Rhinolophus ferrumequinum: one gene and its partner. The protein of the gene in region 1 purifies or fractionates together with the protein of each later gene. This does not show direct contact. Links are inferred from orthologs where the notes say so. Each region holds a gene or a part of one and is shown in the gene's direction. Other genes may lie near its edges.

The links. The genes of interacting proteins can lie anywhere in the genome.
Region 2: the proteins of RBM8A (region 1) and UPF3A purify together in Homo sapiens (co-immunoprecipitation; 4 studies listed by BioGRID and IntAct, with this or other methods). This does not show direct contact. The link is inferred for Rhinolophus ferrumequinum from reciprocal best matches to the Homo sapiens genes RBM8A and UPF3A.

The regions. Positions count from the first base shown.
Region 1 is NC_046305.1:50,159,112-50,165,582, reverse strand, and holds RBM8A (RNA-binding protein 8A), read left to right. Parts: upstream 1-4,099; 5' UTR 4,100-4,178; coding exon 4,179-4,245; intron 4,246-4,518; coding exon 4,519-4,578; intron 4,579-4,704; coding exon 4,705-4,782; intron 4,783-4,955; coding exon 4,956-5,092; intron 5,093-5,464; coding exon 5,465-5,601; intron 5,602-5,711; coding exon 5,712-5,757; 3' UTR 5,758-5,916; downstream 5,917-6,471.
Region 2 is NC_046287.1:56,480,511-56,488,267, forward strand, and holds the start of UPF3A (regulator of nonsense transcripts 3A), read left to right. Parts: upstream 1-4,719; 5' UTR 4,720-4,772; coding exon 4,773-4,976; intron 4,977-6,265; coding exon 6,266-6,372; intron 6,373-7,757. UniProt on the Homo sapiens protein: Involved in nonsense-mediated decay (NMD) of mRNAs containing premature stop codons by associating with the nuclear exon junction complex (EJC) and serving as link between the EJC core and NMD machinery.

The DNA.
Region 1 (6,471 bases):
GTCCTTCATTTTGAGGCTTCTTTACTTTATTATTTGGAAGGAAGTGGAGATACGGTTTCTTGTTTTTAAAGTATTCCTGAGAAAGTGCCCAGGAACAAGAGGAAGTATAAACACAATCTGTAGGGGATTATCACCTAAATTGCATCTGGGGCAGAGATACCATACCGGTAGTCCAGATGCCTGGACGTACTCTACACTACAGAAGGGGTCAGGGTTGAAGTTGCTTGTTTTCAGTATTTCACTTTTCCCTCCTCTTCCTCCCCTGCTCACACAGCTTAGTTAAGCCCTGTATTTAGACCTTCCTGCCTGCAGAGATTGATAAAAGGTAAAACCTATTTCCCTCTTCTCTCTCCTCCCATTATTTTGTTCTTTGGAAAAATGACCTATCCTATTTGGAGAGGACCATGTTCCTCTCTCTGCCATGAAGTTGCTGCTGTCTACTACCTTAGATTCACATTTGTTTTCTCTCCTCTTCTTCCACACTATTAAAGCATGAGTAGATCAGGAAAATCAGAGAAGACTTTGGCATTATGGCACTTCCTAATTGGAACCTTGGGAGACTGCAGGAAGGGAAAGAGAATCAATAATCAGCTATCAGGGATTGCTTTTTAATACCGTTCTCTCCGCCCACCTCTCTCCTGGGTGGAATAGGAGAGATGGGATCTGGAGAACAGCTAAAGCATTCACCTTTGGGAGTATTTTTTGTAGGTCTTCTAAGGTATAATTCCCCCTTGTTTCTGTAGTCTCCTTTATACTATAGTTCAGCTCAATGCACTTTCTAAACTGAACTTGGGAAGTATAATGTGCTTACAATTAGACTTCCCATTTAACAGTTATACACTTTGCTTTCAGAAATAGGTTAGGAAACAGGCCACAGTTTGTTCTTTTGGATCAGACAGGGACAAGATGGAAGTCAGCTTTCTTGCGTTTGAAATCATCTTGGTGACCAGTACATATGGGATCAGAGGTAAGGACTCTAGCAACAATTGTTACTAGTTCTTGAAAGGGACTTCCTTGAATTCTCCACACCCCTTCTCTCTGTTCCATGAAGCACATGTAGGGTTGGAGCAGAGGCTCCTACATTTAAAAATAGGTGTGTCTATTCAGTTTTTATTGATATTTATAATCTGGAAATCACAAACCCTCATTTCTCCTATGCTCCTTTCTTGGGGAAGTGTTAAGGGGTGTGAGTTGTGGGAAGAACTTGTCCTCGTACTTCCTGGATTTGTTTTTCTAGAATACCAACAAGTAAGATCTCAAAGGACTTGAGAAAAATTGTTCCCTGATCTGTACACTTTTGCTGTTAAAGATTTTACTTATCTTTTTAGTACTTTCTATGTATTTTATATGTATAATTTTATACAATTAAAAATAGATTTTTGTCTAGTGAGCCAGATTGACTCTTTCTTGAGACCTATGTATCAGAGGAGCTCGAAAATAACCCTTTCTCTTACATATAGGTATACTAAAAAAGAATTTTTATTAGTATTTTTTTGGGTGGTAGAAATAAAATTGTACTGCTGGGGGAAGACATTTTGCCTCTCCATTTCCAGACATTTGAGGAGCCTAGATTTTGTCTTTAATCCTTTCTCCTTGAGCTCTACACAATATCACTGGCAATCTCACCCATCATGGTGGTCTAAACTGTATCATACATGACTCTCAAATCTATTTCTTCCACCCCAACCTATTTTGAGTCTTAACATCTATATTTCCATATATTGAACATCACCACCTGAATATAACAGAAGCTCTGTGAACTCACATATCCAAAATAAAATCCAATTCTCCATACATGCTCCTGATTCCCCAGATCTGTTATTGGAATTATTATCTACCCAGTTACCTAAGCTAGAACCCCAGATCCATCTTTAACTCTTCCCTAGCATCATCTAATAAGCCACTTACTGTTGCATTTACCTCCTGTGTAAACATTCTAATCTGTTTTGTCTATATTTATTGCCTTAATTCAGTCCTTTATCATCTCTGGGCTGGACCACTGCAATAGTTTCCTAACTAGTCTCTGCCTTCATTTTTAACATCCTCCACATTACTGTCAGATTTCTTTCTAAAATACTTACGACTGTACCACTCCTTTGCTTAAATAATCACTTAGCTATCTTCACCTTTAGCAGTATTTCCCAAAGTTTTATATATGAACCCTTACTATTACCTGTGATGACTTTGGGTGGTAGATGGGCAAACATTTTTCATCTTTACTAGTTACGTTTTTATCTGAATTTGTAGTAAAAAACATAGGTTTTCCACATATGATAGTGATATCTAAATTTAGTGTAAATTTGTTTAAAAAGTCAGTCTATTTAAGGAAAAATGCTAATAAAAATAGAATAAGGCCCATTTACAAATGTTAAAAATAATGAATATGCAAATACTTGAAGTAGGGAAATTTATTTCCTTCAGGATAAGTTCCAGAATCTTCAGCATTGGCCTTAAACTGTATTTCCAGCTTTATTTCCTAGTCACACAGCATCAAGCATACAGAATTTCTTGCTATTCTGATAATCATTAATTCAGTAAGTACCAAATGTCTACTTTGAGCCAGGCACTGTTCTAAACTTTGCGAATACAGTTGTAAATATGAGTCTCTTGACATAAGGATTACATTCTAATGGGAAAAACACACATTAAACAAATTAGAAAGTAAACAAGGTAATTAAGGATTCTGATTTAAGTTCCATGAAGGCATAAACAGAGTGAAGGATAGGATAGAGAAGACCCCTTTGGGTGACCATAGTATTTTAGGGAGACACAAAGGATGGGGTTGAACTAGCCATGTGAAGAGCTGGAGTAAGACCATCAGAAACAGAAAGCTGCATAAAGTCCTGCGATGGGAAACAGTGCAATACAACCGAGTTGAGGGCAAGTGTAGGGAGAGCGTAATGCATGAGAGGGAAGAATGGTGATGGAAGAGGTTGGAGACATAGGCAGGGCAGGCTGTGAGTTTGAACTTTATTCAAAGTGCAAAAATAATTCAAGGAAGGGTTTTTAATAGGGGGATGTGACCAACTAATTTTGAAGAAGATCCCGCTACCTACTGTGGAGAATAGATTAGTGTCTCCTGGTCTCAATACAACTACATTGACTGGAAAACTACCAAATCTTAAAGGCCCTGTTCAAACCGAAGCTGTCCCTTACATGGACTTCCCTTACCCCCAGTCCTATTAGGCACTTTCTTTGTACTGCCGGAGTCCTTTGTGATAGCAGTTATCACTTACAAATGTAATTATGATTGTTGATAATGCAATTATTTTTCCTTGTATTGCCAGCACCTCCTCTAATATTAGACACACGCATATACAGGCATGCATAACTGTTTGATTAAAAAATTAATAAGGGAATCTGCAGTCTACTATTGTTTAAGGCCTGTGTCAGGGTTCCAGAATTTGGGGACAATATGGGTTTTGCCTCTTCTCCTAGGTTTTTAAACATGAAATACCCGCATGCTCTCAAAAAAGCTAAAGCTCCTATTTTGTTTGAAGCCATGCCTTTTTTTTTTTTCCTTTAATTCCCAGAGGTGGTGGGAAGAGTTTGGGAGTTTAGCTTTTTTTTAAAAAAAGAAAAAGTTGGTTTATCTTTTTTCACCAATCCAATTTCAAGACAATTAGGTTTGTTAGTTTCTTTAAGAGAGAAATTCGGTGCCGTCACTGTGTGTTCCAGAAGCAGCTCTTGGAGCCAGCATTGCTGACTGAACCATTTTTTAACAATGCTTCCATCACAGATCCGGCTGCTCCCAGGAACAGGGTACAGGCCTGGAAGTTTTGAGAGAAAAAACTTTTATCAACTTCCATTTCCTAGTATGGGGTGAAAACAGACGGAAGGCAGCCATCTACTAAAGAAACTAGGCTGAGCTCCATCGTCAGTAGTTTTTCTCCAAGGCAGCCTTAAATAGGAGGAAGCCACCATCTCCGCCTACCCCTAGCTTGTCTCTCACGGCAACACTGTTTCCAGCTCACGACCTGCTCAAAATGGCTACAGGAACACTTCCGGCTCTTCCCGGACTAAGCCCGCCTCCAGGACGTATTTTCACCGCACCGATGGGCGGGACTTAGAGTAGGCTTTTGATTGGTTATCTTGACTGGCGACCTTTCCCCTCCGCGACAGTTTCCCGAGATGCTTAGTTCCTGAGCGGCACAGACGAGAATTAGAACGAAGGCAAGATGGCGGATGTGCTGGATCTTCACGAGGCCGGGGGCGAAGATTTCGCCATGGATGAGGATGGGGACGGTGAGGACGGTGGAGGCGGCTGCGGGAAGCGGGGAAGGTGCGACAGAAGGGCGTACTAGGAAAACAATTTCCATTCTTCCCGGCAGGGAGGGTGGGAGGCGGGGAACCGGGTTTCGGTTGGAGTGGAGACTCCGCCCCCTTCGGGGCAGAACCTGGGGGCGGGACTGGGAAGGGACTGGGATGGGAGGCGATGGGGGTCCGCTTTCAGATGTTGTCTTGGGAGAGAGACTATTGTGTTGTTTTTGTTACTTACTCTTTACTTATGGGGCGCAGAGAGCATCCACAAACTGAAGGAAAAAGCGAAGAAACGGAAGGGCCGCGGCTTTGGCTCCGGTGAGTGTTTGTGGGGAAAGGGGGGTCTAGAACGGCTAGAGCTACGGGTTTTGGAGTCCCCATTCTGATTCCTGGGGAACGGTGGGAGAAGGGATTTCCGGTGATCTCGTGTATGTTTCTTATTAGAAGAGGGGTCTCGAGCGCGGATGCGTGAGGATTATGACAGCGTGGAGCAGGATGGCGATGAACCTGGACCACAACGCTGTAAGTAACATGGAGCCTGTAGGTGTCTGTGTAGGAATGAGGGACTAATAAAGTAAAACCAGTAGGAAAGGGGTCAGAGATAGCTTAACCAGTCTCTGGAGTTCACACTCCTGTGATCTTGCTTGAAGTTTTTCTCTCATGGGCTCAAACAACCTCCCTCCTTTCCCCAACAGCTGTTGAAGGCTGGATTCTCTTTGTCACTGGAGTCCATGAAGAAGCCACGGAAGAAGACATCCATGACAAATTTGCAGAATATGGGGAAATAAAAAATATCCACCTCAACCTGGACAGGCGTACAGGATACCTGAAGGTATCCTAAGTTACACTCCATTGCCTCCCATGTTTGGTGTGGTTGGCCAAGAGCAAAGCTGAAATAAAATATCATTGGAAATTGATTTTGTTAGGAAAGAAACAGACAACATATTGTAAATACAGTAGGGATATACCGGGGTGCCAAAAACATGTATACACATGACTTGTATTCATCTTTTGTTATCGGTATATATTGAGTATTACAATTTTAACACAGTTTTTCCTTTCTTAAGATGTATATATATATTTTTTGGCACCCTCTGATATATATTCATTGTTTAAAGTTTATACACATGGACTGTCCTACTTGAGTAGAAAACAGCTCGGTGGAATAGGAGGGTTTTGATACCTGCCTTTCCACTTGCCCTAGGGCTATACTCTAGTTGAGTATGAAACATACAAGGAGGCCCAGGCTGCTATGGAAGGACTCAATGGCCAGGATTTGATGGGACAGCCAATCAGCGTGGACTGGTGTTTTGTTCGGGGTCCACCCAAGAGCAAGAGGAGGTAAAGTGGAGAGGGCACACACCGTCTTGGGGAAGGGAATATGAGTGAAATGGAATAAGGACATTGTATTGTGTCCCTCTGACGGACCTCCCTCCCTTCATTTTCCCTAGAGGTGGCCGAAGACGCAGCAGGAGTCCAGACCGGAGGCGTCGCTGACAGGTCCTGTGTTGTCCGGGTGTTCTCTCCAGAGATTCCAGCCTTGGAGACATAGGGCTGGGCTGGAACTCACTGTTTGTATTTAATCTCTTCCCTTATTGCTTGGTGGTTCTTGTGAGTTACAAATAAATGTCCCGTTCTTTTTTTCTACATTTAAAATTACTTTTCTGTTCTAACATTGGAAGCTCTGAAGTGCTATTTCCAACAAGGTAGTATGGGTCACTGTAAAGATACTTCTCCCAGTGACTGAATTCTGTGTGAATATCTACATTACACATAGTCTCAAGTCTCAAAGGGTCTAAGTAGAGACACTGCTTAGTATTTATTTTCCTTGGAAGTAAGAATAGGAAGAGCAGTGAGATGTTCTCATGATGTTAAAGAATAATTATTCTGTCCCTATATACTCTGTCCGGAGCAAATGGATGTTATAGGAATGTTTCTTTCATTTCTGCTGCTGTTGCTGCCACGTTTGTGTGTACTTCCATCTGTCTAAGGGTCTGAATGTCCCGTCGGGGAGTTCTTCCAGACCCTCCTTCCCTGGAGGAGTCTATGTTAAGTTCTTGGTGCCCTCTTCAGCATCCAAGCGCAAATGCCCCATGGAGGACAGAATCCAGAGCAGCATTGAGGACACCAAAGAGGAAAAGGATGTGGCTGAGGCCGGGAGGCACTGCAGTCAGCATGGCAGGAGAGATCCAGCAGGTAATAAGATGTCCA
Region 2 (7,757 bases), on another chromosome or scaffold:
TAGCTTTTATCAGAACTTCATTCTCTTTTTATGGCTGAATAATATTCCATTATATGTATATTACATATTCATCTGTTGATGGACACTTGAGTTGTTTCCACCTTTTGGTTATTGTGAATAATCCTGCTAGGAACATGGGTGTATAAATATCTGTGTCCCTGTTTTGAGTTCTTTGGGTATATACCTAGGAGTGGAATTGTTTTGTCATGTGATAATTCTGTGCTTAACTCTTTGAGAAACTGGCAAACTTTATTCATGTGGCTGCACCATTTTACATTTCCCACCACCAAGCACAAGGGTTTCAATTTCTCTGCACCCTTACCAAAGCTTTTTCCTGTTCTTTTTAATTTTATTCTGTGCTTATTATCATTTATTTATCTTTTTGGACAAATGTCTATTCAAGTCTTTTGCCCATTTTGAAATTGGGCTATCTTTCTGTGGTTGAGTTGTAGGCGTTCTTTTACAGATTTTGGATGTTAAACCCTTACCAGATACATGTTTTACACATATTTTCTCCCATTCTTTGGGTTGTCTATTCACTCTCTTGATAGTGTCCTTTCATACACAAAAGGTTTTAATTTAATGAAGTCCAGTTTATCTAGTTTTTCTTTTGTTGACTGCTTTCGGTGTCATATTTATGTAACTATTGCCAAAGCCAAGGTTATGCAGATTTTTACTTATGTTTTCTTATAAGATTTTTAAAAAAATAATTTTAGCTCTTAGTTGTCGGTCTTTGATCCATTTTGAGTTAATTTTTGTAAATGTAAGTTAAAGGTCCAACTTCATTCTTTTGCATGTGGATATTCAGTTTTCCCAGCACCATTTCTTGAAGAGACTGTCCTTTCCCAGTTGAATAATCTTGGCACCCATGTCAAAAAATAAGAGAGTTTATTTCTGGGCTCTGAATTCTATTCCATTGGTCCATATGTATATCCTTTATGTTAGTATCACACTGTTTTGATTGCTGTAACTTTGTAGAAAGTTTTGAAATTGGGAAGTGTGAGTCCTCCAAACGTAATCTTTTACAAGATTGTTTTGGATATTGTGAGTCCCTTGAATTTTCATATGAATTTTAGGGTAGTTTTTTCCATTTCTGGGGGAGGGGGAAGCCATTGGGATTTTGATAGGGATTTTACTGAATTTTTATGACTTAATATTATGTCGTCTAATCCATGAACAGGATGTCTTTCCATTTATTTATGTCTTTAATTTCTTTCATTGTTTTGTAGTTTTCATTTACAAGTCTTTCACCTCCTTGGTTAAATTTATTCCTCAGTATTCTTTTGGATATTATTGTAAATAGAATTGTTTTTTTAGTTTCCTTTTTGGATTGTTCATTCCTAGTGAATAGAAATACAACTGATTTTTGTATATTGACTTTGTATCCTGAATGTATTTATTAGCTTTAACATTGTGCGTGTGTTTGTGTGTGTGTGTGTGTGTGTGTGTGTGTGTGTACGTTGTATTATTTAGAGTTTTCTCAATAATAGGATCATGTCATCTACGAATAGAGAGAGTTTTATTTCTTCCTTCCAATTTGGATTCATTTCATTTCTTTTCTTTGCGTAACTGCTCTGGCTAGGATTCCACTATTGTTTTGAATAGAAGTGGCAAAAGTAGGCATTCTCGTCTAATTCCTGATCATATAGAGAAAGCTTTCAGTTTTCACCATTGAGTATGACGATAGCTGTGAGTTTTTCAGATACCCTTTGTGGTGTTAGAAAAGTTCCCTTTCTTCATAATATACTGAGTGTGTGGTGGCGTTTTGTTTGTTTGTTTGTTTGTTTTTAATCAGGAAAGGGTGCAGATTTTATCAAATGCTTTGTTTTTGATCAGTTGAGATGGTCAGGTGTAATGAGTTCTAGATTTTCAGGTCTGTTCAAGGAAAAGACATGACCATGAGGTGGCAGTAGCACATATGCTTTGTTTTTGATCAGTTGAGATGGTCAGGTGTAATGAGTTCTAGATTTTCAGGTCTGTTCAAGGAAAAGACATGACCATGAGGTGGCAGTAGCACATTTTGTTTGGGGTAGCTTTCTTTAAGCTGTGCTTTGACAAGTTGTAGGAGGGGGTAGCCCCTTCCAAAGACAACAGTGTGGGACCTCCACCCAGAAGGGGACCACGGCAAGGGAACTCCTGGGGGAGGGGAATCACAGAGGAGGTTCACATGTCTTGGTGATGTAGTAGTAGCAACATGGCAGTCTCTGCGTTAGAGAAATCCTCAGTGCAGCAGCAGCTTGGAGTCTTCTATAGCCTGGGGTTTTTCTTATTTATGCTAGTGGATGCTGTGTGTAGTATTGCCAGGTATGCAGAACAGGCAGGCTCTAATTGGCTAAAGATATATTGTTTGGGCTATATTTAAAATAATTGCAAGTGTAAAAATTTGATTTGGTGCTGGTGGACTGGAGCTAACCATTCCAGCCCGCTGTGAAGTAAACAACATAGAGAGCAGTATACAAGAGCCATCTTTGGTTCATTTATATAACATCTTGCAGGTTTTTTTCCCTTCATTCTATTAATGTTGTATATTACATTGACTTTTTGTGTATTGAACCACCCTTACAATTCTGGGATAAATCCTACATGGTCATGGTGTATGATCCTTTTAATATAATGCTGAATTTAATTTGCTAATATTTTGTTGAGATGTTTATATTCATTAGAGATATTGGTCTGTAGTTTTCTTGTAGTATCTTTGGCTTTGGTATCGGGGTAATACTGGCCTCATAGAATGAATTAGGCAGTGTCCCTCCTTTTCAATTGTTTAGAAATGTTTGAGAATTGGTGGTAATTCTTTAAATGTTTGGTAAACTTCACCACTGAGGTCATCTTGTCCTGGGCCTTTCTAATATATGTTTGGAGGTTTTTGATTACTAATACTACCTCCTTACTTGTTATAGCTATTTCTTCTTGAGTCAGTTTTGGTAATTTGTATGTATCTAGGAGTTTGTCCATTTTATTTAGGTTATTCAATTTGTTGGTGTATAGTTGTTCATACTATCCTGTTATAATCCTTTTTATTTTTCTAAAGTCAGTAACAATTTCCCTTCTATGATTTTAGTAATTTGAGTCTCTTGTCTCTTCTTTACTTTTCTTAGTCAATCTGGCTAAAGGTTTGTTAATTTTGTATACCTTTTCAAAGAACCAACTTTTGATTTTGTTGACTTTCTCTGTTAATTTTCTAGTCTTTTTTTCATTTCCACTCTAATCTTTATTATTTCCTTCCTTCTGCTACCTTTGGGTTAAGTTCTGGTGTTATTTTTCTAGCTCCTATAAGGTATGCAGTTAGGTTATTGAATTAAGATTTTTTTTTTTTTTAACATAGGCCTTTACAGCTGTAAATTTCCTTCTGAGCACTGTTTTTGCTTCAACCTATAAGTTTTGGTATGTTGTGTTTTCATTTTCATTTGTCTTATTTTCTAATTTTTCTCATGATTTTGTACCCATTGGCCGTTTGAGTGTGTTGTTTAATTTCCACATTTTGTGAGTTTTCGTTTCATTCCATTGTGGTTGGAAAGGATACTTGGTGTGATTTCAATCTTTCTAAGTGTATTAAGACTTATCTTGTGGCCTAATTTGTGCTCCATCCTGCAGAAAGTGCCCTATTTGCTTGAGAAGTATATTCTGCTTTTGTTGGGTGGAGTGACTCCCTTGATCTCTTAATGCCTCACTTACTCCATTTTCTGGTTTCTTTTTTGATTTCTACTTGAAATTCTTGGGATAAAGGTGCTGTGAATAAAATGTGGCCAACATGCATAAAGAAAAGTGAGAAAGTATAAAATATAGCATTTAAAAACGAAAAACTTTCATCTATGTTATTCTAACCAAGTGTCACTGCCTGCATGTTTGTAAAAGAAAAGTATACAAATGTAAATCTGGCTTGGTTGCTGTTCCATTGAGAGCCCCAAAAAGCTGAGTAAAAATCGTATTGGAAAACCTTCTGAAGGCCCTGTTTTGTGGGTGCCGTGGGTCTATTAGTTACTCTAACCCAGCCTGTGATGCGTAGTCAGCGTTGACACCTGAGCGCTTGAACCTTCCACGCTGGCCAATTTCTGCTCTCAATTCTGGTACATTTATTCTATTCCGAATAGCAAAGCCATGTAGCCATTTGTGCTGTTTGTCAATTGGTTGATTTTTCTTGAGTACAATTACTATTCTGTTGAAACTTTCAGACTCCTTTGGAAAAGAATAGCTGTAAATAGTTTATGAAGCGCGTGAATGTAATTCTCAGGAATGTTTAGCTAAAGGACCAGCTCTCCTCCGTGGGAAAGTTTCAGCCCTTCAGAGTTTTATTAAAGGCTCCTTCTGGAGCCAAACGTCCTCTGGTGCTGAATTTCCCGCTGATCTCCAAGGCCTTGGAACCCTCCTTCGTCCCAAGACTCTACGAAGTCCGGGCTGCAGGAGAGTGCGGGCAGTCTCGACATCTCAACCACCCAGACCGCTGCTTCGGTTGACCACACAATAGAGCGCTGGTCGGAGGTGCGGGTCCAGGGGCACCCCGTGTACCGGGACACCAGACTCCAGGCTTGGGATCCGGGCCCAGTCCGACAGCCCCTGTTTCCCGGGTGTCTCCAACCCCGTGAGAGGGGCGGGCTCGGAGGTCGTGGGCCAGAACCGGACGTGGGTAACAGGGACCGTGGCAGGGGGAAGGAGGGAGGGGCGGGCGGCATCTGAACCAGGGGGTGGGGGTGGCAGTGGGGGCGGCGGCATTCCAGTTCTCGCGAAGTTTAGGCCGGGGCGGGAGGCGGCGGCGACTCTGCGGCGGGAGCGGAATGCGCTCGGAAAGGGAGTGTGCCGGAGGCCCCGGGGCGGCCGTTGCTGCGCGGGGCCAGAGCTGGAGGGAGAAGCCGTCGGCTGCGGAAGTTCAGTTCCGCCGAGAGTCGCCGCGGCGAGAGCCAGCATCGCCGCTGGCTTTGTCCTCCAGCTGTGGGAGCAGCACAGGCAAACCTCGCGAGAAGAGGACAGTCCTGAGCAAGGTGGGTGTGGGACAAGGAGCGGGGGCGGGGTGAGGACGGGGCGATGCAAGCAAACTTCGCGAAAGGAGGAACGTGCTTCGCAGGATAGAGCGGAGCGAGAACGGGTTGTGCGTGAAACCCCGGAGGAGAGGAGCTGAGTCCTAGGCAGGACCCGGGGATGCGAGGGCAGGAGTGGGGTGGGCTGAGAGGTGCCGGCAAACCTCGCCAGAGAAGGAGGGATTTCCGCGAGCCGAGGCGGGACGAGGACGGGGTGGTACGAGCAAACGTCTGGAGAAGAGATTGGTCCAGACCGAGAGGGGGAGGCGGGGCGAGTGGAAGTGCGGGGTGGTGATCAGGAGAGAGAGGGAGTGGGCGAGGCCAAGGGGTGGAGTGGCAGTGGAGGGGGGGAGACCAAGGGGGGTGACCAAGGGTGGTGCGTTCCGTGGGTGGGTGGGTGGTGTCCAGAGCTGGGCTGCTGGGCGGAGTCGGGGCGGGGCCGCTAGCGGGGGAATCAGCACCGCGGACAGCGGCCGGGCAGCGCTGCGGCGAGCAACTCTTACCGCCTGAGACAAGAGTTTTCAGCACCCTCTGAAACGTTAGTTCTTTATGGATTGGGAAGGAAGAAAAGTCTTTTCAGCGTGTAGAGCTGAGACACTGGGCTCACCAGCGAGGGGCAGTAGCTGTCCACAGTGCTTTGGACCACGGCCTGAGGGGGCACGAAAGGGGAACGGCGGCTCGCCAAAGGTCCTTTCCAGTATAGTGAAGCCAAGAGAGAGAGCCTGGAAAGCTTGGTGGCGCGGTGGGTGAGGACCCGCGATGTGGACACTGTGGACCGGAGGCGAAAGGTGTCCAGTGCAGGCGGAGTTCCTCTTGGCAGAACCAGCAAATACACCGTTGGTTTGCTACTGTTGGTAACAAAAATTCCAACATACATACATTCCCTGCGTAGATCTTACCTTCTACTGTGGGTTATCATGCAGAGAGAATGCAGGAGCTGTTATTTTTCACTGGGGGCACAGACAGTACGTGTCACGTGAAGTGTTGTTTGGTAGTAATGACATGATTGCATGAAAAAGAACTGTTAAGCTCAGCCTTTTCTGACCTCACTGATCCCTTCTCAATTATTCAACTCCCATTAACCTTTTGACAGCCATGTTGTCCATATATGTGTTCCTTAACTGTTCCTAAAATGTGTGCTTTTGAAGGTTTATATTTTCCTTTGAGCATACACATAGGTCACCAAGCATTGAAATAATTGAAGGTTAATACAGTAAGAGTGAAACAAAACCCAGCCAGCCTCCTTTCCCCAGGTGGTGATCCGGCGCCTTCCTCCCAGCCTCACCAAAGAGCAGCTGGAAGAGCAGCTACACCCGCTGCCTGCACACGATTACTTTGAGTTCTTTACTGCAGATCTCAGGTGAGCAGCTGTTTACCAACATTAAGAAGCTGACAGGGTCGGACAGGTGGCTCAGTTGGTTAGAGCGCGAGCTCCAGGCAATGGGGCTGCCAGTTCAATTCCCACATTGAGGAGCCAGCAAGCTATGCCCTCCTCAACTAGAATGAAGTCAGTGAGGTGCTGCTCAGCTCCTGGGTGGCCAGATGGCTCAGTTGGTTGGAGCGCTGGCTCTCAACCACAAGGTTGCTGGTTCAACTCCCGCAAGGGATGGTGGGCTGTGCCCCCTGCAACTAACAGTGGCAACTGGACCTGGAGCTGAGCTGTGCCCTCCACAAATAAGATTGAAAGGACAACAATTTGACTTGGAAAAGTCCTGGAGATACACACTGTTCCCCAATAAAGTCCTGTTTCCCTTCCCCAATAATAAAGCTGAGAGACATTGTCACTTGCTGGCAAATTATTACAGGTAATAGAAGCCATCTCCACTTCCATCTTATTTCCCACATGTACCGAGAAATTAGTGCAGACCTTTATTTCTGCAAGTTATTTCTAAGTAGGCAGATCATTAAATTCCTGTAAAATAGATTTAAAATATGCCTCTACTAGCACCACCGTAGTCTAAAAAGAAACACATACCATTAACAACATACTATTTCCTTATTGTATTTTGCACATCAATAAAACTTATTTCATAAAACTTTTTAAAGTAAATTGTATTGAGATATAAAAAAGAGTGAATATAATGGATATATAACTCATGAATTTTCACAAATGAACACGCCCATGTAACTTAACACCAGATAAAGAAACAGAATATTCCAGACCCTAGAAGCCCCTTGTACTCCCTTCCATCACTAACACCCAGACCCCACACCGCCCCTCTCAAGTTGTATCTTTTTTAATTCCCTTTTACAGCTTTGTAGTTAGATGACTCTGACAAAACTTCTTACTTCCAAATCTTTTCATTAACAGAGAGAGCCAACCTCAGGTTAGACCTTCAACAGGTGACAGACAGTTCATCAGTGATTTAGTGATTTTCACTATGTTTGTATCATTCTTTATTATCATTATTATTCTTTTTATCTTCAATATCATGAGTTCTCATTTATGGTAGCCAAATAAACTTTCCTTTTGAATAAATACATTTAAGTAAAAAATGTCAGTCCATTCAACAAAAAAATACCACTAACAGGTAAATACAGATATGGTTAAAAAAAACACATAAAGATGATTTTCAAATGACTAAAGTTTAGGAAAACTGGTACAGTTAAAGGAGGACAGATACTGGACTAACAGAGTGACTCAGATTGGAATCCTAGTCCCACCTTTTAACTAACTGCACTCCCTGCAAGTATCTAGTTTCTCTGAGCCTCAGTGTTCTCATCTGTGAAATGGGGTTGAAAGTT